Mytilus edulis: one gene and its partners. The protein of the gene in region 3 interacts with the protein of the main gene of each other region in a pairwise test. Links are inferred from orthologs where the notes say so. Each region holds a gene or a part of one and is shown on either strand. Other genes may lie near its edges.

Region 1 (9,234 bases), on a different chromosome or scaffold from region 3:
ATGACTTGTGTAAAAGTTAACCTGTTCCTTTGATGTCAAATTAGATTTATTTAATGTTTTTTTATTTATTCAAGTGCTTTTAATGAAATAATGTTTCTGTTCATTATGATAGATGATATAATTAGAGAATTTTTTTCTACAGGAAATTTAGATAAAACAGAATTGTATATTTAGATAATACATAATAAAAATTGGGTGTTGGATGTACTAAAACCGGATATTTGCATGAAATATACATCACTATTATGTAAAGATAATATAAATCGTCAATCTAAAGTAAATAACAAGAAATTATTAAGAAGCGTGCATGAAAATCGAAGACAAAGAGATTTGTCGGAGAGAGAGAGCGAGAGAGAGCACAAGGGAGATAGAGTGAGAGATAGATGGAAAATGAAAGTATGGAAAGTATGGGCATAATCGAGTAGGAATGCACAATGATTGATTGATTAAATTTTGGTGTTAGTGCCACTCTCAGCACTATACTAATTGTCTACAGCATGTCGTTCAGTTTATAGGTTGAACAAGTCGAGAACCGCCGACTTTTGTCAGTTAAATTGTCAATCTTAGTCAATTAAGATTGGAGTCGAACGCACCTGACACGTACGGGTTCGAACTGACAGACTAAAGCGAATTCAAAATGAAAACTACAAGCAATCTATAAGATTGAAAGGGTTAAGTTTAATAGTTACTGATTTATATTTCGTTTATGATGTTTTCTTCTTTTTAATCATTTATATAAATGCATCGTTGAAGAATGATTTTTAGCGTTTCTTCGTAAATGTTTCTACATTGAATGTAGAATTGTTTTTCATTATTTCAGTCTCATGTTGAAGATAGTGTTACGTTTAAGAAGTTGAATTATGAACTTATCATTTCAAATGTGTTTGCATTTTGCTTTGTATTAATAAGCTGCAATCCTCACAACTCGGCCGATTCCGTACCTCATCTAACAAGGAAAGAAGCGGAGTCACCCGAGGATTGCCGATTGAATAAGCTGCAATCGTCACAACTCGGCCGATTCCGTACCTCATCTAACAAGGAGAGAAGCGGAATCACCCGAGAATTGCCGATTGAATAAGCTGCTGTCATTTTTATTTTAAAATATAAAATATTCAAATGTTCATGTGAAGAAATGTCTACGTGTAATAAAGAGGACACTTAAAGTTTTTGACGACTAACAAGCCTAATAAAAGTCCAAAGCTTGTAAGTGGACAACCCATTTGTTTAATTCATAAAATATTTTAAAAGATAATTGTGTTGCTCTCATTAAACTCCATGCTCAACAATTTTTATCAAACGTTCTTCATAAAAAGTATATTCACAGAATATTTTTAGTCTGTAAGAATGCATTGTCGGTTTCCGTCCAAAAAGTCATTAAGGGATGAAAACTGTGTGTGTTGTTTGAATTAATGTTAGAAAAAAATGATATATTTACATGTATATACGCATCTGTATATATTTCATGTATATCGTTGTTTTTTGTGAGTACATGTACACTGTACGGAGGGTCTAGAGGGAGTTACATCATGATTTTAATACATGAACTAAAAATAGGTGAAACAAGTATATTTTTCACGAAAAAAACTCGGACTCATTACATGAAACCCTCTATACAGTATACACGAATCATCCAATGTCTCGACCGGAATTGTTTTATTTTTATTTGTTCATGTACATGTAATAGTATTTGCTTATTTTTTTGACTTAATTATGTTTGAATGATATGAATGTTTTAAACAGTATTTTTATGTGTTCTTTTTATTTTTAAGGTGCAAAAGATGTATGTAAATAAAATGTAAATAAAAATGCTAATTATTTATTCAGAAGATTGACTATTGATTGCATCTGGTTCGGCAGTATCCCATGCTGAGTTATCGGTTTTTGCTCTCTCTCTCTCAATTGAGATTGCTGGTTCGGAGCATGTTTCACCAACAATGTAGGTAGTCTTGAAATTAAAAGGAACAAAACTGTGTTCTTGAATGCAACATCGTTTGTTGTTGTATTTTGAGAGAGGATAGTTTTATGTTTTATGGGGGGGAGGGTTAACTTGTTTTAACTTTTGAATATTTAATGCATAAACTTTTCAAATGAGGAATATTTCATTGTATTGCTCAAGATTTTTCTTTAACAGTCGGATAATGTCGAGTGCATATCCCATCTTATTTCGAACAATATAGTTGTCCTAAAATTAATGCGCGAATTTGAATAATAAGGAATCTTCAGGTGTCTGGTCAGAGAGAAGAGAGAAACAGTAGTAAAGAAGAAAGAAAATGGGATATGTTATGTCTAAATTTTCATTGGAGTGCTCTCCCTTGAATAGTGGACTGATAATTTATACAGATAAGCCAAACACCCAAGAACATTGCGTCATTTTCAATCGATATGTAGAGCAGGATCTGCTTACCCTTCCGGAGCACCTGAGATCACCCCCAGTGTTTGGTGGGGCTCGTGTTGCTTAGTCTTTAGTTTTCAATATTGTGTCTTGTGTGTGTGATTTTCAGGACTACATGTACATGCAAAATAGTCGCATCACGTTCCAAGTTTATTTGGCGATACTTTGAGTTTTAATCAAGTTTATTCGCTGGGCAGAGATATAACTTTTTCTTTATACGTTACTCAGTTTCTGTATAGATATTTTATATACAAATCTGTTAAGATGCATTGTAACACGTACGAGATATTCAGAGCAGCTGTAATTTCCTCAGTGTAACAAGTCTGAATTTCATATTACCAACTGAGCATTGCATGTTGGATAGGTACACGGATTTTTAAAACGTATTCGTTCGTATCAGGTGGATTACTATTTGTGGCTAGGTTTTTAGAAAACACATTTTGCATTCGTCTACTATTGAACGGTGTAATTAAATTAAAATCTTGGTTTTGTTTGTAAACAAAACGGTTAAGTTTGTTTCCTGTTCGTAATTCAATATTATTTGTATCAAGTTATTATTAAATTATAAAAGCATTCTATATCAGATTAACATAATTATTTACACTATTTACCTATACAAATTTGAATACCAGAATTTACCAGTTCTTAAGTCATTCAAGATTTTAATTCAAGTTGGATCCGTCCTGGATCGAAACCAACAACCTCCTGCACAAGAGACACGCACACTATTAAAATTTCATGATTTTTTCAAGATTTTATTCATAACCTCAGACACATACAGGTGTGTAAGAGGACAATATAATTACAAACATAAGATAATACAAAGTGAGGCCGGACAGACAAACACAAATGCATAGTATGTTATAAAATACAATTTTGTTTGAGTATTTCATAATCATACTAGTTTCTTTACGAAAATTGATAAATTCTTTTGAACTTGTACGTTACATACGTATAGACAGTAGAGCAGTAAAATTGTTCTTGCTTCGATTTATTGCATACTAAGTTGGTACGAGACCAGCCCGTCCAATGACATATGTTGAAACCAGTCCATGAATTCGAAGGTTTGACCATAAATTGTTTATCTGATAATGAACTTTTAACAAAAACCTTTTTTTAAACATGATTCTATTTTGGTCAAGTGCTGTCGTTAAGCTTTGAACAGATTATCTTTACAAGTAATGAATTTACCCGGTTGATTAACTTTTGGTGTAAATATGTAATTCTTTTGTTTAGGGGCCAGCTAAAGCCGCCTCCGGTTGCGGGATTTTCTCGCTGTGTTGAAGGCCCTTTGGTGGACTTCGGCTGTTTTCTGCTATGGTCGGGTTATTGTGTCTTTGACGCATTCACGATTTCCATTCTCATTTTTTTTTAACTAAGGGAAAAAATGCCCACAAAATCCTTCTTCGTGAAAACTCAACATAACCGGTGGATGATCCGATGGGGAGAGGGGTCCAGATTGGCACCCCCTTATTTACGATCAGTGCTATTGAATGGGGACATATGGGTGGATCCCCCCTTATTATAAGATACAGATATTTTATTTCCTAATCATAGGGTTCATAACAAGCATGTAATCACATAAAGTAAAAATAAAAAGCCTTTCTCTCCCACTCGAATACACTCACACATACAACTATCGTTCTGATTAAGGATGATTGATTTAACAGTACAACAACTTATTATCCTGGGTTGGAACCCCCTTTTAAAAATGGCTGAATCCGCCCATGTAAAACACAATTTTTAATTTCCGGACATATTTAGCAAGTCAATATACATTACTGTATTAAAATTGATGTTTGTATTTGGCAATGTGTTTGTTTGTATGCAACTTTTTGGTTATTAGACATATTCGAAAACTGGCTGCTAGCGTAGTGGCTGCTAGCGAGTGGCTGTAGCTTGAGCCTGGTTTCGATAATATATATACCAAAGGTTGTCACTGATAAGTCTTTTGTAGACGAAACACGCGTCTGGCGTATTTGCAAAATTTAGTCCTGGTATCTATGATGAGTTTATTTACTTGCAAACGTCAATTTGGAAAGAATCCATGCTAAACCACGTATATATCATTTTATTATTAAATTGATAGGTACCGGATTGTTTGTTATCCAAAAGTTTGTGGTTTTTTTTTCTATCACTGGAAAAGCAGAAAATGTTGGTTAGGGGCAGATTTTCTCCAAGCAGTGTGGGATAATTATTGTGACCCGGTTTTTAGGTACAAAGTAAAGTAAATCTATTTTAAACTCTGCATTGATCTACGATTGAGAGGTTTAAAGCTTGGTTTTGTTTATTTATCAAAACAATAAGGATTGTTTCCTGTTCTTAATACCATATTATGTGTATCAAAAACCAGATTAAGGTAGACTAGCATTCTATTCCAGATTAACATAATTACTTACAATGTTTACCTCTGAAAGAATACACTACGTTTAAAAACTCCATTGATAATTCTTTGTCGTTTGCTTACATCATGTACGGTTGTACCGATATTTATTTCAAGAGGTTGTACTGATTGACCGTCCAGACTCTGCAGTCATGCTTCTGTGATTCCCTATATAATCAACCAAATTTTTTTGGACGAAAGGGATCACCCCCTCTGGATCCGCTATGCGGTCTAAATTTTATCGATTTGTTGAGGCTTATTGGTCTTTTTCTTAATAGTCCAATGAGAAGCAGCAAATTTTAAAATTAGACGATCTGGTATGCCGGATTGCCATAGATGTAAACAACTATAGCGGTCACCGTACAGCCTTCAACAATAAGCAAAATCCAGACTGCGGTAGTTACCATTAAAAGACCACGAAAAGACAAATGTAAACAATTCAAACGAAAAAGGTAACGGCCTGATTCATGTATAGAAACAATAAACGAATTACAATTCAAATCTAAAACACATACAGCAACAAACAACACGCAATAAATTATAGGCACCTACAGAATGTGGTCGGGTTAAATATGTTTGCTTTAGCAAAACATTTTCCCTAACCTCGGACAGTGGTGTAACAAAACATCAACGTTCATGTCTTTGCTTTGAACGCGATGGATCTCATGACAACCCGTACTTCAGACACGCAGGATATCACGAGACCAAATTTAAATCTTTAATCTGATAATGAACTTTCAAAAACGGTACTTTTAAACGCAATGTATTAAGATTATTTCAGACGGGTTTTGTGGTTAAAATTTTGAACGGATTATCTTGCAAAGATTTTATACAATTCAGTAAATATTAATTGGCGTAAATAAATTATTTCTATAGTTCCAAATGAAATAATAATTGCGACCCAATCCTTGTTCGGGTAATTTTTTTAATTTATGTATTTGAAGTCATGACACGTTCTGCAAATCCATAAACAGTACTTATAAAATTAATACAATTTATGTACTATATTTTTTGTTTGTTTGTGTAGTGAACCTCCGACTGAGCGAGACGTTCGTAGGAATTCAAGGTCGTAAAGCACCCGCCCCCGTTGTTGATAAGTTGCGAACTTATGTTCCAAATCAGATGAAACTCATATCCAACACAACAAAAGAAAGATAACTCCAGGAATTTTTACTGTTTTTTCGACTTAATATCTTTATATTTGTATATGATCTGAATGGTAAAATTTTATTATAAAACATTAATTAATAATCTGTTGCAGTTAATTCAATTCCATAACTTTAAAATACTTTTAAGCTGAATGAAATTGGCATCTTTTTCTAAAATCATCAGGTATATAGGGGATCATTCCATAAAACAGCAGCTGTATGTATATTTTTACAGAACATATAAATTTGATGATATAAAAAAGAAGATGTGGTATGATTGCCAATGAGATAACCATCCAAAAAAAGACCAAAATTACACAGACATTAACAACTATAGGTCACCGTACGGCCTTCGACAATGAGCAAAGCCCATACCGCATAGTCAGCTATAATAGGCCCCGATAAGACAATGTAAAACAATTCAAATTCAATTGATGTATAGAATAATAATAAATATCAAAATTGGTGTCAACCTGAACAAGCATCATGCATAATTAACCACAATCAATCCATAAACGTGTGCAGAGACATATATTGTATAATATTATACATTGTATGTCTCTGCTTGTGGTAAGTAATCAAGTGTGTTATGAGGTTCTCCAATATTAGGAGAGAAATACGGATGAACCATAAAATTCAACCATGCCCTTTTCGTTTCTTTCCCTAGACCGTAATAATCCCTAAAATGGCAAGCAATCGACAGAAATTTCTGATTAAAAATTCACTTATTTCTTTGTTAAAAGCGCTTGAAGGAAAAGTGACGACTGTTGAATTACGGAATGAACATACAGTCACAGGAACAATTGATTATGTTGACGGATTTATGTGTGTTTCGATGTCAAATGTTTGCTTCAAAACATTGTCAGGAAAAATGACAAATTTTGAGCAATTTTACATACAAGGACCGAATATAAGATTTGTACAGATACCAGACGAAATTGACATGAAAAAGGCGATTCATTGGGAGGTAAATGAAGAAAGGATAATGCGGCAACGGATGCAGAAAGCAATAAGTGATGCAGTTATAAAAAAGAGACAGAAAAGAGAAAAAGAAATAACGAAAAAAGAAGAAAAAGAACAGAAATTGCTGAAAGAAGCAGTCGATAAAAAAGATGCACCTAACTGATGCGGGACAATATTTTTCAATGGTTTGGACCACTGGATGTGGTACTGTACAGGTTTCCAAGTAATAATGTACAGCACAATCAGGAATTGGAAGAACCATATTTTGTCTATTCAACATCATGTTCAAAGCATGTTCATGTAAGAAACGCAGAAATGATGAGAATAGATGCTGATATATTGAAACTATGTTATTCTAAACATTTTTACACAATCCACTGGATAATTTCAAAGAATTATACATACAGCAGTATAAACTTAACTTGTGAATATTCATGCTACTTTGATTATACATTTTTTACATACATTTACATGTATATAAAAATATACATTTATGCATGTAGGTGTATTGACAATTATACAATCATGACAACCAAGGAGGTATGTTATACATCCTTGTGACAATGTACTAAAAAAAAAGTTCATTGTAGTATTTTGAGTTCAGTATTATAAGCCAAAACAAAAATTGTTAACATGGTTAACCTTCTGAACTTCTGAATGCCATACACAATGCAATCTCAATATACTGACAATAGTTTTTGCTGATACAATGTACTTTCAAAAATGTACATGTATGTTCATTTATTGTTGTGTGTTTGTTTATTTTACATTGGCTATAGATGTATAGGAGAGGGTTGACAATGGTTGAGATTTCACAAAACATGTTTAATCTTGCCACATTTGTGTGCCTGTCTCAAGTCTGGAGCCACTGGCCTTTGTTAGTCTTATATATATGTTTTTAAATTTATTATAATAAGTTCATATATGTTTAGGAGTTACGTGTGATTATAAAAAAGAAGATGTGGTATGATTGCCAATGATGTTCATTTTCACTGAACTAGTACACATTTTTGTTTAGGGGCCAGCTAAAGCTCGCCTCCAGGTGCAGGGTTTTTTTGTTGTGTTGAAGACCCACTGGCGACCTTGAGCTGTTTTCTGCTCTGTGGTCAGGTTGTTGTCTCTTTGACGGTTTGGAAATTCCCCATTACATTTCCAGTCTCAATTTAATACACATTGATGTCAGGCCTAGTGAGTATAAACTGTAGGGCACATGTAGTTGTACAACCAGCAATGCTTTTTGAATGCTTAATAATTTTTATAGATATAATAAAAGAGGGGCGAAAGATACCAGAGGGACAGTCAAACTCATATATATCGAAAATAAACTGACAACCCCATGGTGAAAAAAAAAGACAAACACACAAATAATAGTACACAAGACGCAACATAGAAAACTAAACGAAGCAACACGAAACACTGGGGTGCTCTCAGTGCTCTAAAACGGTAAGAGGATCCTGCTCCACATGTGGCACTTGGCGTGTTGCTCAGATAACCTCTACACAACCACCATCGTCCTATTCCTTTGGAGAAAAAAATGAACATGTACAAACATTGTCAACCAACAATGGATACAACATGTGTATCAATAACAAGAATGTGTCCCTAATACACAAATGCCCCACTTGCATGCACTATTATTTTCTATGTTCGGTGGACCAGAAAATCGGGATTAAAACTGATTTGGCATCAAAACGAGAAAGATCATATCATAGGGAACATGTGTACTAAGTTTCAAGTTGATTTGACACCAACTTCATCAAAAACTACCACGACAAAAGCTTTAACCTGAAGCAGGACAGACAGATGGACAAACGCACAGACCAAAAAAATGATGCCTCGCTACTATTGTAGGTGGAGCATAAAAAGATAAAGAATTAAGAAAGTAAGATCAGTTTGTTGTTTACTATTCTGGTAGTTGGCTAAAGGAACTATGAATGGATTGTTTTTATAATTCTGCTCCAAAAAATAAAAATGAATAAAAACACTCCTTTTGCTTTATTGCAGAGGATCTTTATATGACAATTTATATGAACAAGTGATCATCCTGAACATGTAAATGGACATAGTTCACTACCAATCAGTCAATATATATATATATAATTTTTTCAGGATTTCTTTGATATACTGTACAGTTGCTGCTTACAATACTCTTATTCTCCAAAACAGTACATGCTTAGGGGGTTGACCGTTCAAATGAGGGTGTTTGTAAGGTCTAGGACCTGTCTTTTCGATGAGGGTACTTTTCATTTTTGAGTTGCATAAGTCCTATACATGTAACCTACTATTCCAGTCTGATTAAATCAAACTTCTCAGCGCTCCAGTTATCTAATATGTTGCGGATCAGAAAA
Region 2 (11,210 bases), on a different chromosome or scaffold from region 3:
TACTATTAATGGAAAGATACAAATGAAAGTCTTCCTGTAGTAGTATAGTATACAGAAACTATTTGAACTGACAAGATTTTTGCTGGAAAATATTGTAGTATATGTATGAACTCTAATAGAAGTTTGACATTTTAAAAATTTGAGCCTACACGTTAATTCAAATGTCATTCACTTTTATGATTTCTATAAATATCTGTTTTTTTTCAAATAAGAGCGCATTTGTTTCTAACCTAAACGACGTAAACGATTACGCGCGTAGTCGTTTAATCCATTTGTTTCTTACAGTTTTTGGTCAACGTTTACATCGTTTACATAAACGATGTACGCGCAAAATAGTCGCGTAGTCGTTGATCGTTTATCGTTGAGACGTGTAAAGGATATATTTGTTTCTGCATCTGTCGTTTAAATAATTACGAGCACGTGTTGTTTTCATAAAGTCCTGGTTATTTATTTCCCGCACTTTTACCTGTTTGTTTACAGTGCGTGAGTGTAATCTATTTCTGTCTGACTACGCGGGGTCGATGAAGTTTATTAAATGATGTATTTGTTTCTAGCAGCTTAACGTTTACTAAACGATAGTCATCGATGACAAAATTTCGGGTTAAAATGCACTCTAAGTGTTGTTTTAAGATGAGTATAGAAACATGATATTAACACCTCTAGATCTTATTACAAACATAAAATTGAGAATGGAAATGGGGAATGTGTCAAAGAGACAACAACCCGACCAAATAAAAAACAACAGCAGAGGGTCACCAACAGGTCTTCAATGTAGCGAGAAATTCCTAGTTTGTATATATATTTCTGTACTAAAATTTATCACCAGAGTATCAAACAGCACATGGTGTACATAAATGACGTAAATCAATTTCTTGGTCACTACCAGTTCTAGTGGTTGGTGGAGTTCACATTTAAAGGTTAAATATATATATAATACTATTTGAATTATACCAGTTCAAGTGGTTGGTGGAGTTCACATGGCATTTAAAGGTTAAATATATATATAATACTATTTGATAAAGGTTAAATATATATATAATACCAGTTCTATTGGTTGGTGGAGTTCACATGGCATTTAAAGGTTAAATATATATATAATACTATTTGAATTATACTAGTATCAATATTCTAAGAGCATACATAAGAATATCATTCTTTATAGATTACAGGGTTTTCTCAACATATATATTGCAAAATATCAACTGCTGGCCAGCAAGTAAATCTGGTTAATAAGTAATCAAAATAGTTTAAAAGCTTCACATTGTGTCCAGGGTCTGATATTTGAAATAAACAAACCCAAGATATTATCTGTGTTGATTGTTTACAAAACAAGGTCAATTTTTGTATTTATCATTATCAATTGAGATTTAAATAAAGATCATTATATGTTCCTGTACAGTTTGAAGATAAAATATATACAATACAAAAATAAATATATAAATAACAAGATTATTATACTTAAATAAAGTATAGGTAAAAATTGTTGAATTAATGATGCTACACAACATATGCACAAATCCTTGTTCAAGTATTCATTTGATCGCATTTTCATTTACATAAAATCCCACATTAAATGTACATGTAGAATCAATTTAAATTAAATAATGCCAAAATGATTAAATCCATTAATTGTTATATCATTCAATATTCAATACAAATATATTTATTTTGTTTCAGTTTAATGTGTTATCCACTCAGTTATTGGGTTACATGTAAATCATTTTTTTTGTAAATAAAGTTTATTTATATTTGTATATACAAATGTATATATGCTTCAGGAATCTGATGTTCATGGTCAGTAGTAGTTGTTTGTTGATATGATTCATAAGTGTTTCTTGTTTTTTATATACAAATGTAGATTAGACCGCTGGTTTACATGTACACTAGTCATTTTTGGGGCCCTTTATAGCTAACTGTTCGATGTGAGCCAATACTCAGTATTGAAGTACTTTTACAAGTTGCGACTTGGATGGAAAGTTGTCTCATTGGATCTTCTTATATCTATTCAAACATTTCAGCTGATATATATCTTCTAATGTTAGGATAGTTTAGCTAGTTACATCTGACAAAATACCCTTTGAGATATATTTCTTCAATAGTACACACAAATTAGTGTATTTCTAAACAGTTAACAAATGTAAACTGACATTAAATCATTTACACAAATCAATAGTATGTCCTGTCTTGATTCTGATCATAATCTCCCCTAATGATAGAAATATTTTCATTTTTTACTAATGTCATCCATTGATAAGAAATATTTCCCATAAAATATGAGATTTGACAGGGACATCCTGTTTCTTTTTAACATGTAAGAGTACAAGTGAAACCAGGTACAGCTGGTCAATATGTTGAAATGTAATCTTACAAGAAATATTGTTCCATATTAGAGTGTTAGAGTAAATAGAAACAGTTGTGTTCCATTTATTGAAACTTATTTTTGGAAACATGCAGAAAGAGTCAAAATTAGAACTGTCTGTTATAAACAAGGACTTATATCCAGAAATGCTGTAGAAGACATCAGTGAGAATCCAAAGCTTAAGGTTTAGAAAGGGGTTTAATTACTAGAGGAAAGAATGGATGAATTTTGTGCATAATTTCAATACTTTTTTTAGTTTTTTCATTATAATATATGGTAATACAGTTCCGGCAATTTTAAGGAAGTGATCAATTTGTGTTTTTAAATAGATTAAAAAAAATAAGCATTACATGTGTCACTTTGTTACTGAATTTGCTTAACAAATATTTTTTGCAATTTTTTATTTTTATCAATTCATGTAACGTGATCACAATTAAAAGTTTCATTAGTTTAAACAGAAGAAAATACCAAATAAATGTTCCTTTAAAATTCTAATTAAAATCAACTTTACATTATAGTTTAAATATTCAGACATGTTAAATGACTTTAATATAATATCAATGGTAAGCTTACATGTGGAGTCTGTGATTAATCAACTGGTTCTACTGGTACCCTTATTGTAACTATCTATGTAATATCATTAATCAATATTTTCAATACTTCTGACATTTACACTGAACCATTTCAAAAACAAAATCAAATGCAAAAAAAAAGGTAGTATTACAATACTGGACTAGTTATATATATATTCTTTAACTAGATGTAACAGCTTCCAGTCCCGTTAGCATAATAGTCTCAGTAAAAAACTTCAACTCAGTTTTTGTAATTAAATTGATTTTATCATAATTTATGAAAATAAACTGTTATCACAGAGATATGTTCGCCTTTTTGTAATTTTGATTATGCAAATGTTGAAATCCAAATAGCAATACTCTAACATCTTACACAAGTTATGCAAATATTCAAAGTCAATGACCCATGACTGAGTTTAACTGGCTAAACAATCTCCATGGAAATGAAATGTGCCAATGCTAATACAACTGCATACCACATACCATTGACTTATTATAAGTCGTTCCCAAATCTAAATACAAACTATAACTTGTAAACTTTGAAAAAGTTTCGAAGTAAATGAACCATGAAGAGGGGGTGGGGCTATATAATCTCCATGGAAACAATACTTGCAAATGCCAATAAATTTGCATACCAAATATTATTGACTTAACATAAGCAGTTCATCTTAAACTGATCTAATCACAAACTAATAAATGTAAACCAAGATAAGTTTCAAAGTCATTAGACTGTGACTGAGGTGCAAGGCCAAATATACTCCATGGAAATGAGATGTGCCAATGCTTATACAACTGAATACCAAATAAAATTGGCCTACCACTAATGGTTCCCCTTGAACTGACCTAATCACAAACTAATACATGATTTAACTTAGAATAAATTTCAAACTCTATAGACCATGACTAAGGGGGCAGAGCCAAATTATCTCCATGGAAACGAGATATTCCAATGCTTATAAAACTGCATACCAAATATCATTGACCTACCACTTGTGGTTCCCCATAAACTGACCTAATCAGGCACTAATACATGTAAAATAAGCAAAAGTTTCGAAGTCAATAGATCTAGACCATGACTGAGGGGGCAGGGCCAAATAATCTCTATGGAAATGAGATTTGCCAATGCTTATAAAAAGGCATACCAAATATGATTGACCTACCACTTGTGGTTCACCATAAACTAGACCTAATTACAAACTAATACATTGTTGACGCCGAAAACAGCATACCTATGTCTCGCTTTTTGACTCCGTCAACGCAAGACAAAAAATGGATACACATGTAAAATTGCTCACATGCATTTCACATGTCAGAATCTCATGTGAAATCCATATGAAAAATATGTTGCAGGCTCGACAAAAATCAAAACTCTTAGCCACATGCACACCTTCAGTATATATACAAACAGATAGCAAAGTAGACTTCCTAGCATTCGAACTGTAGAAGGAGTTATGCGGAATAACGATATACCAATAATGGGACGTACGGAAGGACAAACGTACAGAGGGAAGGAAGGACAGAGGTAAAACAATATGCCCCCTAACCTTTCAGTTGCAAGGGCAGGCAATATAAGCATTGATGGTCGGAACTGTCACAAAGCTATGTGAAACCCAACAGATGAACAGAATCTACCTAAAATTCAGGCAAACATTAATGGAACTATCACAAAGATATGTGCAACCGAACAGAATCTACCCTGAAATTTAGGCAAACATTAATGGAACTATCACAAAGATATGTGCAACCTATCTCAACCACTTATATACTTTAAATTATAAATTCCTTGTAATGAGGTCAAGGTCAGATTACCCAAGCCAGTCAGACATGTACACCTAACAATCATTATTTTAGCTGAAAATTGATGTAAAGTATTCTTAGAGATGTCTAACAATTTATGTTTGTTTTGTTTGTATATTTTGGTGTAGACTGGTGAGATCGTTTAAAAGTTCTTTGGCATTTTTATGGCACAGTCATCATTTGAATTAGTCCAAATAATTGGGCCATTCCAGTTAATTTCTGACAGGTGGGGATGGATGGGGAGATTTTTGTTCATACCTATCAGAAAAAAACATCACGAAAAACTACCTATCAGATCTATATATTAAGACCTATCAGATGTAGAGTTTCTGTTCAGATTGGGTGGATGGGCTTTCATGGAAAAAATTGACCTATCAGAATTTTTTACTGCAAGGATTGTACCCATCAGAATTTTAAATATAATGCCAGATAGTGCATGATACGAAACTGTCTACATTCCAAAGCACCCCTAAGATCTGAAATAGGTATTTTTTGTAACCCCTAAGATGTAATTATTTTTAATTATTTACTGCTGCAAGACCCTCAGAAATTTTTGCGTATAAGTGTACGTGTCAGATGAAAAAACCCAAAATTTCACCCCTAAGATGTATAAATTTAACACCCCTCAGAAAGGACCATCCATCCCCCTTTAGCAGATATTAACTGGAATGGCCCATTATGATGTCTGGCCCAGGAAAAAAATCAAAATAGTCTTGCTGGACCTCATTATTATTTGGACTACATTTAAATAGTCAAATGATATATAAAAGTCCAATGAATGATATAAAATTTCAAATGAATTACATGTAGATGAACTAGCACAAACCCAAGAAAAAAGTGCATGTGCTTGCAGTTTGGATTTTCAAAAATTAAACAGTGCCAACCTATAATGCTATCATTCAGCATATCATATGAATTACTGGGTAAAATCTAACAATCAATATGATACCATTGATTGCAAGTTTCACCATGTACACTAACGACACCTTTGGGTTCCCAATACACAACAAAATTTAGCTTATCAGGGTTTAATAACAGAAAAGAAAAGTCACAGACAGGAAGTCATCTTCTTCGCTCAAATCTGAATCCCTGATCATTATGGGTTTTTTCAAGGATTTGTATAGTAAGTCACAAGTCCTTGTTTTTTTTTATGTACAAAATTGTATAAAATGCATAAAAGATTTATTTTAAAGTCTTGTATACATACAACAATACATAATAAGCTCTGTAGATTGTGTATTGACATAATGAGTTCTGTTAACAACTACCAACCTTGGGATGAACAATTAGATTGTATGATCTTATGTTGTATTATTTAAACAAAAATAATCAATCAATCAATCAATCAATACTGACAATAGTATTGACTTCAAAATTATTAAGCTGAATCAATCAATCAATCAATACTGACAATAGTATTGACTTCAAAATTATTAAGCTGATTCAAGTAAAAAGTATCAAAACTGTATAACAAATCACATTTATACGGAATTCGTCCTCTTTATATATTTAATAATATAAAAGGATACTGCCTCATAAAATGTATCTTCGTCCATAATTTTTCAGACTTTAGTTCCTAGCACATCCATCATATTTTATTAGCTAAAAGCTCTTACAAAAATAACTATGTAGCAAAAGTATGTTGAAAAAAAAACGGTTTATGTCTTTGATTTAATTGAGTGAAATTTACCTGTTTTATTTCACTGGCATTCTTCAATAACAAGTAGGATGTGTTTCAGTGATATATACTGACTTTGTAACCTGAAAGAAGGGACCATAAATAGTGCTTGAATATTTACATGCAAACTACCGCTTTCTCAAACGCAGAGATGATACACATATTGCGTGGATGTTCTTTGGACTTTTTTTATTTTACAGCGAAAAATCTAGAGAATAGTTTCACTTTAAATTTGCAACGCACGTTGGACGCATGGTTGTCAAAGAAGAAATGGTTCTCTTAAATTCATGTTCCCCTCCAGATGAGGGGATACGGAAAAAACAGGAAAATACGTCAGCATTTGTTGGCGAAAGAGCACTTGGAAAAGGCACGCTGTTTATTGCAGAAAGGTTGCTATCAAACTCAAACTTAGATGATAATTGATGATATGATATTGATTACTGTGTTTACACACTTGTATACTTCAATAATAATAATAATAATAATTCTTTATTTAAAGAGTGTTACACAGTATAACACAAATCTTCCCTGAAGCCAAATGCAATGAAATATAACAAACAATTTACAAAATAATCAAACAAATACACACATACAGGCATACAGGTGGGTCTCATTGGGGTCTAAGCGTGACGTGGGATTGCCAATTTTTTTGTACTCTTGACACATGAAAGTCAAATTTTTTCTGCCCTGAAAATGGGAAATGAGGTCTAGCGGAACACCGGAAATTACAAAAAAATGAGAATTGCTTAGCCCACATACATTAAGTGTAAGCGGGATATGGGAATCTAACAGTAAGCGGGAACCGGGATTAGAACCCCCAATGAGACCCCCATATAGTAATGTCCCCGCTGCTGGTGATATCGCTCATTACCTGTTTTGACATATAAGCAATGTAACACAAGTAGAATTGTTCTTGTAATTGTTTTAGTTTTCCAAAGGAACAGAAAAATATTAAAATTGATAATTTCAAGAGTATTGGCAGTACAGTGTATCTAGGCACCTAAGACTTATGACTTCACTTCATTCAATTGATAAAACCAATAGTTGGATAATATTGCATTAACACATTCATAACATACTTTTATTACTTAAATCTTCTGTTTGTATGATTTCACCCTGAAGATTTGATGTGTTCAAAATTATGGAAACCCCTGTTTTACCAGTCCGTCAAATGTCAGGTGATTTCGTTCATGCCTTCCAAAAATAGCTTATTTTGAATAAAGAAAAAGATTTAATACTACAAATTTGAACCAAACACACTGCCTTGCAATGAGGCAGAGCAAAATTTATTCCAATACTTATATTCCAAATATATATGCATATGCCTCTTAATTATTGTTGTTGTTACCAATTATGTAAATCAATTGTATCTGATTTTATGCCCTTTATGGGCCCTGTAATTTTGGAAATAAAAATATTCTATTCTATTCTATTCCATTCTCATATAAATGTGACTTGAATAAAACAAATTTTATCTGATTTTTAAATGGAAATTGGCTAGATATGGTAAATTATGGGATTGCAGTTATAAATTTACTCTCAACTATCAATTTTATTCTTTTCTATCCCTTCTGATAGCTAAAACAATTACAAGAACAGTTTTATTTGTGCTATTGTGCAGATATGACGAAATCAGCTAATGAGCGATATCAACAGCCATGTGGACACCAGGGACTCCACTGTAATCTTATAACTGCATTCCACAGCTAATGAGCGATATCAACAGCCATGTGGACACCAGGGACTCCACTGTAATCTTATAACTGCATTCCAATCATTAACCATAGTTAGCCAATTTCCATTCAAAATATTACATCATCATGATCTGATAAATTTGCTTTATTTAAGTCAAATTATTACCGTATCTCATATCCCATTAAAGTCCCTCATGATTTAATTTCAGTTGTGTGTCATGGCAGAGCTCAGAACATGAAGGACAAGGGTTTTCCTTACAGTACCCTGGTATAAGTATACATGCTGTATCCAGAGATTTAACAGCCTTTCCACATGAATGTTTATACTTGATGGTGGAAGGAGATTTAACTGGTAAACAATAAATCAATATTAATATTGGTCGAATTGTTATAAAAATAAAAATTTGAAGCGTTTATGATTACAATTGTCATGCATGTATTCTATTTCTGAAGGCTAACGATTTGCCATATATATTTCAACAACCAAAAACGAACTTTTGTAGTTTGCTTTTTTAACATCAGTATATCAGTATGATAAGTCTTTACAAAAATAATATATGAATATTACAGAGAAATCCTACAATTATATATATATTATACATGTACATGTTATAGTTACTGAATAGTTAGAGAGCCGTAGTGTAGTGGTTAGTGCATCGGACTACTAACACAAAGGTTCCTGGTTCAATTCCCGTTTGGGATGAAAGTTTCAGGAACTCAATTTTCAGCTCTCCCTTGACACCATCTGCTAGTATGGTCTTGAGGAAACGATGATAGTCTGTCGGAAGGGGACGATAAATGGCTGACCCGTGTTAAGAGAGAGCCATATCTCTTGCACGTTAAAGACACCCTTGTAGATTTCGAAAAAGAGTAGGCTAATGCCGCTACAAGGCTGCACTCGCACCCGCAAAGTGGAAAGGGATTAATATAAGTTGCAAAAATTGTTTCCCAATCCACTATAAATAAATATGTTTAAACTAAACTAAGTTACTGAATTATTTGAGCGTGTATCAGTTTTTGAAATAAACTGATACAGTACATGTTAACAGTTATACATACACATGACATAATTATAATACTGGCATACATCTAACAAATTTAAAAAAACACTTAATGCTTATTAGGACATTAAAACTTTTCATCCTTTTTGGTGTATAAACATGATAAAAAAAGATGAATATTGTATGGACAAAATACCCAGTGAACCTCAAATCTACCGATGTTTTTTGTGGCAGTAGTGTTTGACTGTAAAATTGAGAATGATATCTTTTCTCCAAATTGTCGTATAATATATTGAAAAAATTTGCTAACATTGTATTGACAGAATAGCCGGTAAACTATATTGTGCTAAACTACATGTGTGTTGTAGATGATGCGAACAGAGAGGAGGAAGAATCAGATGATGAAGACCTTGACCCATCAACAGAGATGAGATTTGTACCAGACGATAAAACTGTGTGTATGTACTCTCTCAGGGATAACAGTTGTACTGGAAATTTTATATAAATCTTGTTTTCAAAACATGCATATGATTTATTTAACTTTAAATGTCCGTAATATTTGACATCTATAAATTTATTATTATTAGTCCCCTACCAACCAAGTCCAAGGCGGCTTTAGGTTTGACTCCTTTAGTCTGGCAAATCAGTTTTCCACACTTTTTTCTTCATGCTTGCAGATACTGATTTGATATTTGCTATATTGTTTTAATATCATGACAGGTTACAGATCAAGGTAAATTTTGTTCTGGCTGGTGATTTTGTGCAGAGTTATGATCCTTGGACTTGAAAAATTCACTCAAATAATCAGTGTTCCACAATTTTTTTCTTTGTGTTTGCAGCTATTGATTTGACATTTGCTGTTTTGACTATTGTTTTATCATGAAAAGTTACAGATCAAGTTCAAATTTTGTTCTGGTCTGATGATAGCTATTGTCCTTGGACGACTCAATTAAATAATCAGTTTTCCACCCTTTTTTTCGTCATGCTAGAAGACATTGACTTGATGTTTGTTATAAATTTACACCATGACAAGTAATAGATCAAGTAAGCATTTTGTTCAAGTACAATGCATGCTAACCAGTAGAGGACTATGTACAAATGATTCTCAGAATGCTTGTTATTATTGTCTTACAACTTACATTAAGTTTAATACCTTTTGCCCTAATTATTTTTTTCAGTAGATCAGTGATATTAAGCCATATCAAATTTTATTTCAATATACCTCTCTTTTTCAGTGGATCAGTTATATAAAGCCATGTCAGACTGTCAGATATTGCATCCTGATGAAAATGATTCAGATTTTGATGGTAAATGTTATAGACAATATTTGTGTTTAAATTGTGTAGTAACTTATCAATTGGCTTAATCCCAGTCTGTGTTTCTGTTTAAAAGGACAAAAACCTGCTGGCCAATTGTTTAGCTGACCTCGTAAGGGCTGTATAGCCAGTCAAGGTCGTTAAAAACTTCCATCATCAACCAATTGTTAAAATCTTTAAGAAAGTGTATGATTTATAAAGATATGTAACGATTTCATTCGCAAGTAGTGTAAATAAAAGGAGATATTCATCCATGAGATAGTAATTCATAGCCACTAATAAGTAAATTAATATTGAGAAATATCTTTTTAAACTTTCATAATTAAGACATATTGATTATTAAATGTTTTTTTATTTTTTATGCATTGCCATAGCTGAGGGGGCATTAAGTTTTACCCTTGTTCGTCTGTACATCCAAAAATTGATTTCCATTCTCTAACTTTATTTTGGCTCAACCAAATGTTATGAACTTATACCCAAAACTTATTACCACAAAGCACAGATCAAGATTGAATTTTGGTGGCACCACCTTTACTGTTCTAGAATTATGCCCCTTCACAAATGGAAAAATTTCAAGTTTTAGTGAAAATGTTAGTTTTGAATGGTGCTACTAAATTTACAACGTATGTATTTATAGAAGGAGGATTTTATGAAGGAGAAGATGGATTAGACCATTTATCAGAACAAGGTCAAGCCAATCTACAACGTATGGAAAATTTATTAGGTCAAGGTGATGGTCAGCTAAATAATAATCGTAAGTAGTTCAATTGTAATTCACTGGTATATTAGTTTG
Region 3 (11,527 bases):
CGTCAACATGTCGGACGCTTCAACCAATTGGCATAAAACTTTGGTGAGTTTTTTGTATCTATTGGCGTGAGCTTCCTTTCGACTTTTATGAATTTTAGATTTTATGTTTCCGAGTTAAAGGGTTTTACTATTAAAAAAAGTTTTTTTTAGTTTTCGGACAATAACTCAATAAGTGCTTTCAGCAGTTTTCATGAAACTTTAGTGCATTGTTCATATCGATTGATGTAAGCTCCCTTTATAATTTTATAGATTTTTGATTTTACGATTCCGAGATATGGGGTTTTATTCATTAAAAAGGGGCGATTTTTCAGTTTTCGTACGATAACTTTAAGATGCTTTCACCAATTTTCATACAACTTTGATGAATTGTTTATATCTGTTGATGTAAATTCCGTTTTGATATATATTAATTTCTTATATGACATTGAGAAGTAATGAATTTCTCTGAAATTGTACCACACGGTTTCATATCACAAATTGAGGTTGGGGGTACATGTAATTGCTCCAAACGTTCAGGAATTAGGGTTCAAAAACAAGCATTTTACTAGTTATACTATTTTACAATAACTTGTGTTTGAGTGTATGGATCTATCTAAAATTGTACTACAAGGTTCCACACCACAAAAAGAAGGCTTGGATTGAGTGTGGGGGTAATTGCTACAAGAGGAAGGGGGTGGGCGGGGGTCATAATTTTTTCTGCAAATTTTTGAAATTTCAAATTTTTTGAAATATATCAAGAAGAAATCTCCAATTGCACAATAAATTTTTAAGACCTTCGACCATATTTATTTTGTGTCAGAAACCTATATTGTGTCAAAAATTTGATCACAGTCCAAATTCAGTATATATATCAAGCTTGGGTATTGTGTCCAAACGTGCCAAAACTGTTCAACCTCTGCGGGCGTATCAGGCTGCGCTCAGCGAAGCATTTTATTGTTGTTGGTGTAGGTCATCAATAGTACCAAAATATATAACTATGCATAGTGTTTGATATTCCCAGATTATTTGAAGTCTAGCGGCCTTATTTTTAACTTGTTGGTCCTACAGTTCGCTAACAACAGTTTGAAGAAATACTACAAAATATGATTTTTTTTGTGCCCAAATTATGTTAGCCTGAACAAAGCATTAAAGAGAGATTGAGAATTATGTACAATACAATACGGTGCTAAATTTTCTTTGATTTCGACAGCCAGCAACTGATGTAAAATTTTGGATGATTTTCGTTATTTTATTAACGTTTTTAATTGAATATTTCAATAAATATGATTACTCTACAAATCACTTGTTTTCATACCCCCCCCCCCCCCTCCCCCCCCAAAAAAAAAGTGAGAGGCATTAGATGTCAAAGGAACATTCGGGAAAGATGGACGACACTTGGATAATTTCTGCCGTCACATGTGAAATAAATTACGATTTCAAATAGCACGTCACACATAATTTACGTCCAGTGGCAAGTTTAATGCATACTAGTATTCAGAACTAGAACATATTAATTTTGACCCTGCTTTGTATTAACCCGACAGGCTGCACCGGATAAATATAAATGTGAAATGAGATTTTTGATGAATTATTTATACATGTAGTATAGAAAACTATAGTTATGACGTTTCATGCATGTTATATGAGAAAACGGTCGAAACTCATTGTTCCTATTTACATTCCTCTGTTGGACTGAAAACTACAGATTCCGGAAGTGTACGCTTACATGCTGCTACTCTTGGTCTATTTGTACCCCTCTCCCCACCCCCCCCCGAAAATATACCATGAACTCTACATACCGCATCGCGACGATACGCTGCCAAAAAAAAGTATTTGTCACCGACTTCGTTTTCGAGAAAATGGTCCGAGAGGGTACTAAATCATATTGAATATGCTATGAATTTCCATCGTTCTTAGTGGTGATTATGCATGATGATTATGTGTTTTGTATTGATATGTTCTTTTAATCATAAGGGTCTGGATAGAGGGTCATTCATTTATTAATATTTATTTAGTGTTTCCAATATTTTTTATTCTTTATATTTAAGCTTCATTCTCTAATCTTCTGTTTTTTGTCTTTTATTCTGCAGTATTTGCCCATTATTCTGTATTCCGTAAATTTACCCCAATACAATCAGACCCTTTTTTATGGACACGTATTTTTATTTTAATTATAACAGTTGTAAAAAATATCATATGTTCATTATCATTTCTCCTGCTTTAGTGGAACGTCCCTTCGAGCGGCTCGCTATTTTTTTTAAAATAAGAACTAGCTTTACGACGGACACGAAAACGGCGACGTCATAATACAGAACTTTACGACACTATAGCGGCCCCGATAGCGATGCGTATAAACAATAGTGTGATTTCCCTTTAATAATGTCACTGAATGTCATTTTGCACAAATAAAGAGTGTAAGGCAGATATGAGCACGCTGATGTGCACACTTTGAATGATGCACTGCCAAATTAACAGTTTCATATCAAATTCATATCAAAGTAAAGTTGAAAATGCTTTTTTTTTCTAATCAAATGTCAATCATTGGAATGGCCATCTGATTACCACAATTGCCTTTTAAGTCTTAAGGGATTAAAATCGGAATCAGATATCAAATGTCCGGCTGGCTCAAATATTTTTTGGAAGGCCTGTAAAGGAGCCACTTCCAGTTTAATGGTGTCAAATTTATAGATGTTATCTATATATTTTGGCCTGATTGACTCACTGTACGTTGCTCAATATCCAGTGGCAAATATCTGAATCTTATGTATGTTCAGGACTTTCAACTGAAATTTTCTGGCTCAAACAACAAACTGTATATATCCCCCTTCTTTTTGAAGGTAAATGATTGCTGCCCAACTTGAAAAAAGACCAATCAGGTTACTTAAAATGCTTACCTTTGTCTGTTTGTAAGAGTAGTAATGAATAATTGATTACCCGTACAGACAAATTCCCAAGGGTAATTTTAAAAGCTTTAGAGCACTTAATTACTGACCAAGTGCACCAACTGAAATTATATATACCGGTACAAGAGAAAGGGATAATTGATGTATGTAGAGAAATTGAAGAAAAATTTCTCAAAATATAGAAAATGGATGAAAGTTACATATATACATTCCAAGATTAAAGGAAACACCAACAGGTGATAACAGATATTATCAAACCACTGAAATAGGTAATAATGAAATCACTTATATAAGTGGTACTCCACAATTATTTGGACTACTGTCTATGAGAAGTATGTGTGCTTACAGCAAACAAAACCTGTGTTTCCCATCTGTTGTTAATGTGTGCACTGGGTATTCCCAAGTAAAGGAATGTTGTGACTATTGTATTAAGAGAGTTAATAAAGTTATCATAAGTTATTTCTAGTGTTTAGTATATATATTGAAGGAGTAAATAATGTACATTTTACTTTATGTTATTAGCTGTATCGATAACGTCATATACATGTACAAAAATGTATGGCGCAACTTTGTCATGTATTGTTCAGAACCTAACGGTTGAGTCCATATTATTAAAGCGTGAACCAGAAATGGTACATTTACATTGTATGAGTTCTTAACTGGAAGAATAAATATGTCTAGATTTGTTTATTCATAAGAGTTAATTATTACAAGAATTTTGAGTCGAAGACTCCTATATTTTATGTCAATGTTGGACGTAATGTTTTTCTTCCTGCTTAGAATATTTACTTCCGGTAATTTCAAATAAGTAACAGTGTAATGTCACGTTCGTCATTCCTTGATGTATTTTCATTTCACTTACAGCAAGGCACCCGGGGGTTCCTAAAGGTAAGAAGCAGCGTATTTAGGTGTATGTTTGCCGTTTATCTTATGAATATGGGTCGTAGTTTAGAGGTAAGAAGCAGCGCAGATAGCTGTATGCCTTGCATTTATTTACATTGTCAGTGTAGAATTTAAGATAATCCCATTTGGTCCGTACAAAAATACAAGAGAAAGAATGTTATTTTAGTACCTCCGCCCCATATGTTAATTATATATTGTTTTTCGAATGGATGTATGGAAATATATCTGCTGTACTAGAAGTTTAATACAGGCATCATTTTTACTATTGATTATTTATTCACGCTACCAATGCTGAGAGAGAGAGAGAGAGAGAGTTTTATGAGTTAATTCGTATTTGCTGGCTTTAAAACTATACAAAAACATACATTTTTTGTACCAAGAAGCAGAAATTACAACACCATCTGACAGATGTTTTGTGAATACTAGTTGGTGAGTTAGCAGGTATTTGTTGGGCCGATTATACATGTTAGATATGGGGCGAGTTGTCACAAATTCTATCAATTTCAGTAGTCAACAATCTAAACTCTTATGAAAAGACATTTAGAATAAAGAAATACTGAGAATTAAATGAAATTCGAAATAATTGATTGATTAATTTGAACATTTTTATGTGTAACAGCTTTAGTAAAATTTCGAAAACACATAATTCACAAATTTTCTGGTCGTCCAAACGCACCTGCTCTTGTTCATCAGCCATCTTCGAGTTATTGGTCTGATCTTATAACCCAAAATCTAAGTTCATTTTGTGTTTATTCATTAATAATGTAATTGCGTATAAAGGGTGTATGTTGTGCTAGAATAAAACCACTTAATAATGAAATCATAAATTTATTATGCTGATATAACTTTTTGCATCAAAATCTTTCGAAATTTAACATACATGAGTTTTCGGTACTTAATCGTACCACAGCTTTGTTCTGAACGGGACTTTCCAATTTCGCCTTTGCATATTAAACTATTTTAATAGATTGATCCCTTCAAAAACAGTTGTTTTTTTTTAATTTGCATTATTCCCATTTGTGTCATTAAAATACATTGATTGTATATAAAATAGTTATCAAGCGAAATCTGTAGGGACGAGTTGGCCTTTATACGACTCGATTTATACCGGAAGTTTACTTTGAAGAAGCCGAGGCGGCATGTTTTGATTAACAATAACAACGATTGACATAAATCGTCTGGTATTGATTGTTGTTAGAATACGTCCTTCATAAAACCTATTGAAAACAAATACACCCTTTTTATTTTTATAGTTTTTATTCTGTAACTAAATGACACTTTTGACAGCGACCAACAGTCGAACACTGTGACCAGGTATAAATTTGTGTGAAAAAGCATCATCTTATTCTGTCATATAAAGCCTGATAAGGAGATTAAAGTCTGACCTAGGAACAGTAATCTATTGATATGTTCCTGGTCTGACAAATTAAGATCAATTTGACATACTAGTTATGTCTGACAGTCAGATCAATACACCTTAAATCTGCTATTGCTTTATATTTGTCTGACATTACTGGACATCACAAAATTCTTGTAAAAATATGCCGCTACTATGGTTAAGTGATTTTTGTATGACGTCAAAAGTTCAAGCAGAACAGATTCTCAGGTCAAGGGGGACCGATTTCCAAATAGCGATAAGGTTACTGTGTATACAGTGGGTCTCATTGGGGTCTAAGCGTGACATGGGATTGCCGATTTTTTTGTAAGCGTGACATGTGAAAGTCAAGTAATTGTTTCGTGAAAACGGGAAATGAGGTCTAGCGGGACCCGGGAAATGACAAAAAAATGAGAATTGCTTACGTACATAGTGTAAGCGGGATACAGGAATCTGACAAAACAGTAAGCGGGATCCGGGATTGGAACCCCCCAATGAGACCCCCTATATAGTTTAGATAGATCTAGATAGACAGACAGACTTTCATGAAGTTTACTTATCCTTGTCTCACAGGTTTTTGTTCTATTTAAAGAATGCATTGTTGTGTCATAATTACCATTTACATTTAACTGTTAAACTAATATGGTTCAAATTTTAATATCTTGTTAGTGATGACATAAAGATCAATAGAGCAAACTAAATTGATATAATGTTAATTGTAGGTAGCAGGATGACAAAGATTGGTACAGTTACAGATCCAGTTGTCAATGAGACTTGGAATAAAAGGCAGTCATGGAAACAGGCAAGAAAGAGTTCCTTCTGGTGCTGTGTAAATATCATTTTGGCTATAGTGATGTACATGGAAATGTAAGAACCAATTTTACATGTTTTAAATTAAATATTTGAATCTCTAATAAGACTTTATGATATCAGTTTTAGATTAAATGCGGTGAAGTATTTAATGTCCAGTCAATGACAGTGTCTTAGTTTGCAGCATTATAGAGAAATTAACATGTAATATGAGAAAGGTCATGAACCAATAATGTTAGCTTTGTGATAGCAACTGGAAATGACAATGAGATAAAGATGTAAGAAGATTTGGTATGAGTGCCAATGAGACAACTCTCCATCCAAGTCACAATTTGTAAAAGTAAACCATTGTAAGTAAAAAAAATTGTAGGTCAAAACTTTATGTTAAAATATCAAATAGTTTGACTTATATAAGGGAGAATGTAAATAAATAATTTAAATTTACAATGAACACTTATTTGAAGGCCTTTATGATTTGTTTATTAATTTTTTGAACTTTTTTCTTTACAGGCAGCTGAACAGTATAGGATCTAGTTTAAACATCACACATCCTGTACTATGGTACTTTGGTAAGTTACACTAAAAGAATGAATTGGCAGACACTTATTCATGTTTTTTTTAGAAATGAACAAAAATATCATTTTCAGGTGTATTTGTGAAAAATACCATTCTTGAGAAGAAATGCATACAAATACATACAAAGAGTTAACATGCAAAAAATATGTGTTGAAAAAATGCAGGTATTATAGAATTATAGACAAAAAAGCACATGTAGTGATTGAGAAACAACACTAAATATATATTTTAGAAAAAAAAATGTTTATTGAAGGCATTGCTCACAAATAAGCGTGCTAAGATATATAGTTCAGATTGATGGATATAAGATAAATTTATTAAGATGTAGATTCCCAATAAAGTAAGTTGACTATTGCTTATAAATTGTAGTACCTGAGACGAAGACCGTACAATGCAAATTTAACATTGACAATTGCACCATGACATATGCATGATGACATAAAGGATACTAATAAAAAAAGTAATGAATAAAATCATACTTTATATTGTATTTTTTTCAGAATGTATTCTGGCTGTGATATTTTTATTAAACAGTGTGACCAACTTTTTTGTTTACCTTAAACCATACGTATCTACCAAGTCTGTAATGATGACTCCAGGGCAGAAAAAACTCCTAGCTGTCAGAGATATAGGTAAATGAATGGTTAAGTTGTTTGATATTGATGTGAAGTAGCAGATGAAATTTATTATGAAAAAAAAAATGAAAAGTAAAATATATTACTGAAAAATTAAACAAACCTTGGACCTGTATGGAATAGTACTGAATCTGTTTTAAAATTTTGAAATTAAGAATGACTCAATCATTAAACTGTATTTTAACTAAACTTATATGTTATAAATTTATTCATTCAAGGATGCATAATAAAACTAAACAAAACCTTGTGTTGTTAAACATTGTGGGTCACCAATGCATCTAGATATGTTTCTAAGAACACTGCTTTGTAGATTTATAATAATAATAAAAATAATGATAATGAAAATTTATCAAGGGCCCTATTTAAAAAAAAGAATTACTCTTAAGGCACTGTACATTCTGTGTCAAATTCAAATACTGAAATAAAAAATAAAACAAAAATGCCTACCTTAAGATAAAAGGTCAATACTAAAATAAATATTAAAACAAAAAATTAAAAACTAACAATCAAGGCTAAAAGCATGCAAAACAAGCAAAAACCCTAAAAAGGAATACGGAAAGATTGATTCAAAACAAGTGGATTTACAGTTTTACACTATACTTTATTTATTACAAGACTTACAGCTTGGATTCTATTTTTCAGATGCTGGATTCAGTGTTTCACCAAGGAAATTGAATTTATCATCAGAAGAAAGTTTAATGCTGTCTAGTACACCTTCAGCTCATTCTAGTTTCTCTAGTACAGCAAGTCAGCGACAGACGACACCTACAAATATGTCTGGGCCCATTAGCTTCAGTAATCACTCCATTGTATATTCAACTTACAGTTCACCAGCAGCAAATATTAGTGGGGTATGTTTACCTGTTTGGGGAGAGGAAATATTTTCTTGTTGAATTATTCATTATCCACTACATGTAATTACAAACATAGTTTTAATATAAACATGACAGATAAAAGCTGAAAATATTAAGATATTTTAAATATCTATGTTATTTAAATACTGAAAAGCTCTTACATTTAATTATTAAGTTGTTCTCAATATAATGGGCTAATGATTCTCCAAATCTGTTAATTTAAGGTTCAGAATCTCAGCAGTATTAGTCCTGGTACATCATTTGCTCACAATTCCTCCATGTCTCCTAATGTATCAGGATTTACCCATCATCCATCGTTCTCACCAGGAAGTTCCTTTTCACCTGGAATGCAGAACAGTTTTGATTCCAGTGGACTGCGAGGAAGGAGGTCCATGTCTAATTCATTCAAGGCTTCTCCAGGTAAAATGAAGATGTATATATAACTCTCAATACTTTATATTGATATCGCCAAAAAGGTTTATATTCAATATACTAAACACTTGGTTTTTATAAAGTTAATTTTAACAGAAAGACAAAAATATAATGGCTAAAGGACGAAAGAAAGGAAGAAAGACGAAAAATAGAATGTCTAAAGGAAGAAAAAAGGGATACATGAGATGATATTACCTAAAATACAAAAGAAAGATATTTTTAGAAGTAGTTTTTGTCCAGCCTGCAACTTTTGTTGCAGAAAGCTCGACATAGGGATAGTGATTTGGCGGCGGCTACGGCGGCGGCGGTGTTAGCTCACTTCTTAAAAGCTTTATATTTTAGAAGGTGGATGCTTCATACTTTGTATATAGATGCTTCATGTTACGAAAATTCTCTCTTATTATAAGTAATAGAATAACTATATTTGATATGTGCATACCTTGCAAGGTCCTCATGTCTGTCAGACAGTTTTCACTTGACCTCAACCTCATTTCATGGATCAGTGAACAAGGTTAAGTTTTGGTGGTCAAGTCCATATCTCAGATACTATAAGCAATAGGGCTAGTATATTCGGTGTATGGAAGGACTGTAATATGTACATGTCCAACTGGCAGGTGTCATATGACCTTGACCTCATTTTCATGGTTCAGTGATTATAGTTAAATTTTTGTGTTTTGGTCTGTTTCTCTCATACTATATGCAATAGGTCTACTATATTTGTTGTATGGAATGATTGTAAGGTGTACATGTCTAGCGGGCAGATGTCATGTGACCTTGACCTCATTTTCATGTTTCAGTGGTCAAAGTTAAGATTTTGTGTTTTGGTCTTTTTATCTAATACTATATGCCATAGGTCAACTGTATTTGGTGTATGGAAATATTTTATTATCTTTATGTCAGTCGCACAGGTTTTATTTGACCGTGACCTCATCACAGTTCATTGCACAGTGTTAAGTTTTTGTGTTTTGGTTTATTTTTCTTAAACTATGAGTAATAGGTCAACTATATATGTTGTATAGAAGTATTGTTAGCTGTACATGTCGGCCTGGCATGGTTCATCTAACCTTGACCTCATTTTCAAGGTTCATTGGTCTTTGATTAGTTATCTTGGTTAATGTTAAGTTTATGTGACAGTTGTAATAAAGCTTAGCTTTATACTTAGGACTATCAACATAATATCAATGATTAGTATAGAAGGCGAGACATTTCAGCGTGTGCACTCTTGTTTAAAAGCATTCACCATTTTTGAAAATTACTTTTGTTTTATTATGTACAAAAAAAAACTACCCATGTAGTCGGGTGGATATGATACTGACATTGAAATCACAAATGCCAGGAGGTATTATTTAAAAACAACACCATTTCAATAACTATTTACTGTTCTACTTTTAGCATCAACATCCTTTGATAGGATCACAGACCTGCATTCTCTCAGCCAGTATTTGAAAGAACAAGATGAAAGAGAATATAAATCAGCTTTGAGTAAGAAAGTTTTTGTTGACTTTAACAGTAGTAGTTTTCTGATTTCTGCCATAACTTGATAGCTGATTCTTCTTTTGTTGCCTATAAAACAATAGTATATTCTAATGCCAGTTAACTCATAACTAATGAATATATTGTCAGATCACAGATAAGAAATTATGGTAAATTCAAGTTTAATTCTATTGCAATCATGCAATGGAAGACTGCTGCATTTGTACATGAATAAGTGTATAGAGAATATTAATTAGACAATTTATGTTATATTTAGAGAACTGTTGATGCGTAATTATAACTTTACTAGAAAAAATGAATAGACTAGTGAAATTTTTATATAATGATGAATAAACTACAGATTTACTATTTCAAAACATTGAAGGTTCACCTGACAATACCTCAGCTGGAGCCTCATTCTGGAGTTATGGAAGATCAGCAATGGATTGTACACACCTATTAAAGAAGTATATGTACCAGTTGGCTAGCAGGTCACCACAATCACCCATGTCTAGACATTATGATAGTGACCAATCATCATTGTACAATGGGGAAGATGTAAGCAATGCTATTTAAGAGGGTCTGGATGGGGTGTAAAGAATAAGAGATAATGGTCAGAAAGTGCAGAATTAAGGGCAAAAAATATAAAAAAATGTAGAAAAATATGCCAAAAAATAGAGAATAATGGGGTTTTGCAATATTAAGAATAGAGAATAAGATCAAGATAAATGAAGAATAGATTTCTTAAAAGAAACGAAGGAACACTTCCAGACCCTCATTTGATATATATTACTAATTTGTTTCATAATAGAAAAGTATGTTTCATTTTGACCTAGTAAGAAAATTGAGGTAAAATGCAGGTTTATATATTAACTATCTTGTTTCATGTATTATTTAAGAAATCCACTGGATACATGACTATTAATTCAAACAAATGCTGCATTTCAAAACATCAAACTATGACTTATTGAACTTTGATCTTTTTATTTGAATATGTAATACAAAAATAAGTAAATGTGATTTGCTTTCCAATAAGAAAACTCTTTTCCAGAGACCAAAAGATGTGTAATTTTACAACTATAGGTCACTGCACAGCCTTCAAACAAAGAGCTAAACCAATACAACATAGCAAATTAAAAAAAGATACTGAAATGACAAATGTAAAACAATTCTAATGAGAAAAATAACAGCCTGATTTATTTACCAAAAAATATACAAAATCATGAATGATATATAGCAGCCATATTTATCTTCTCTATTTAGATATGGGGTAAGAGGCGTGTATCAGAAGATGAATTATATTTATGGACAGAGAGAGTAAGAAAGGTGAGTAGACTGTTCTTGGCCATAAACAGATAATAATATTAAAAACAAGATGTGGTATGATTGCCAATAAGACAAATCTCCACCAAAGACGGAATGACATAAAAGTTTTACAACTTAAGGTCCCCGTAAGTCTTGAAACTACTGGTAATAGCTGCACTTAATGTTTTCAAGTGTTGTTTGCAAGTTTTCTTGAGAAATTACATTTCTGTCCATAAACTAAGGTTGTCTCAGTTCAGAGGATTCATTTGATTACTTTTTTTT

Evidence for each region.
Region 1: the proteins of U6 snRNA-associated Sm-like protein LSm3 (region 3) and U7 snRNA-associated Sm-like protein LSm10 interact in binary tests that used the Homo sapiens proteins (3 or more experiments, as listed by UniProt). The link is inferred for Mytilus edulis from reciprocal best matches to the Homo sapiens genes LSM3 and LSM10.
Region 2: the proteins of U6 snRNA-associated Sm-like protein LSm3 (region 3) and methylosome subunit pICln-like interact in binary tests that used the Homo sapiens proteins (3 or more experiments, as listed by UniProt). The link is inferred for Mytilus edulis from reciprocal best matches to the Homo sapiens genes LSM3 and CLNS1A.

What each region holds. Positions count from the first base shown.
Region 1 is NC_092350.1:69,988,749-69,997,982, forward strand, and holds U7 snRNA-associated Sm-like protein LSm10, read left to right. Parts: upstream 1-6,608; coding exon 6,609-7,049; downstream 7,050-9,234. UniProt on the Homo sapiens protein: Appears to function in the U7 snRNP complex that is involved in histone 3'-end processing. Increases U7 snRNA levels but not histone 3'-end pre-mRNA processing activity, when overexpressed. Required for cell cycle progression from G1 to S phases.
Region 2 is NC_092346.1:104,452,316-104,463,525, reverse strand, and holds the start of methylosome subunit pICln-like, read left to right. Parts: upstream 1-6,547; 5' UTR 6,548-6,658; coding exon 6,659-6,795; intron 6,796-8,309; coding exon 8,310-8,452; intron 8,453-9,469; coding exon 9,470-9,559; intron 9,560-10,336; coding exon 10,337-10,408; intron 10,409-11,054; coding exon 11,055-11,171; intron 11,172-11,210. UniProt on the Homo sapiens protein: Involved in both the assembly of spliceosomal snRNPs and the methylation of Sm proteins.
Region 3 is NC_092344.1:14,978,027-14,989,553, forward strand, and holds the start of U6 snRNA-associated Sm-like protein LSm3, read right to left. Parts: upstream 4,568-11,527; 5' UTR 4,483-4,567; coding exon 4,462-4,482; intron 1-4,461. Other genes in the region: transmembrane protein 209-like, read left to right, coding at 5,891-6,027, 6,481-6,539, 7,047-7,178, 7,824-8,032, 8,260-8,455, 9,860-9,949, 10,326-10,498, 11,204-11,266. UniProt on the Homo sapiens protein: Plays a role in pre-mRNA splicing as component of the U4/U6-U5 tri-snRNP complex that is involved in spliceosome assembly, and as component of the precatalytic spliceosome (spliceosome B complex).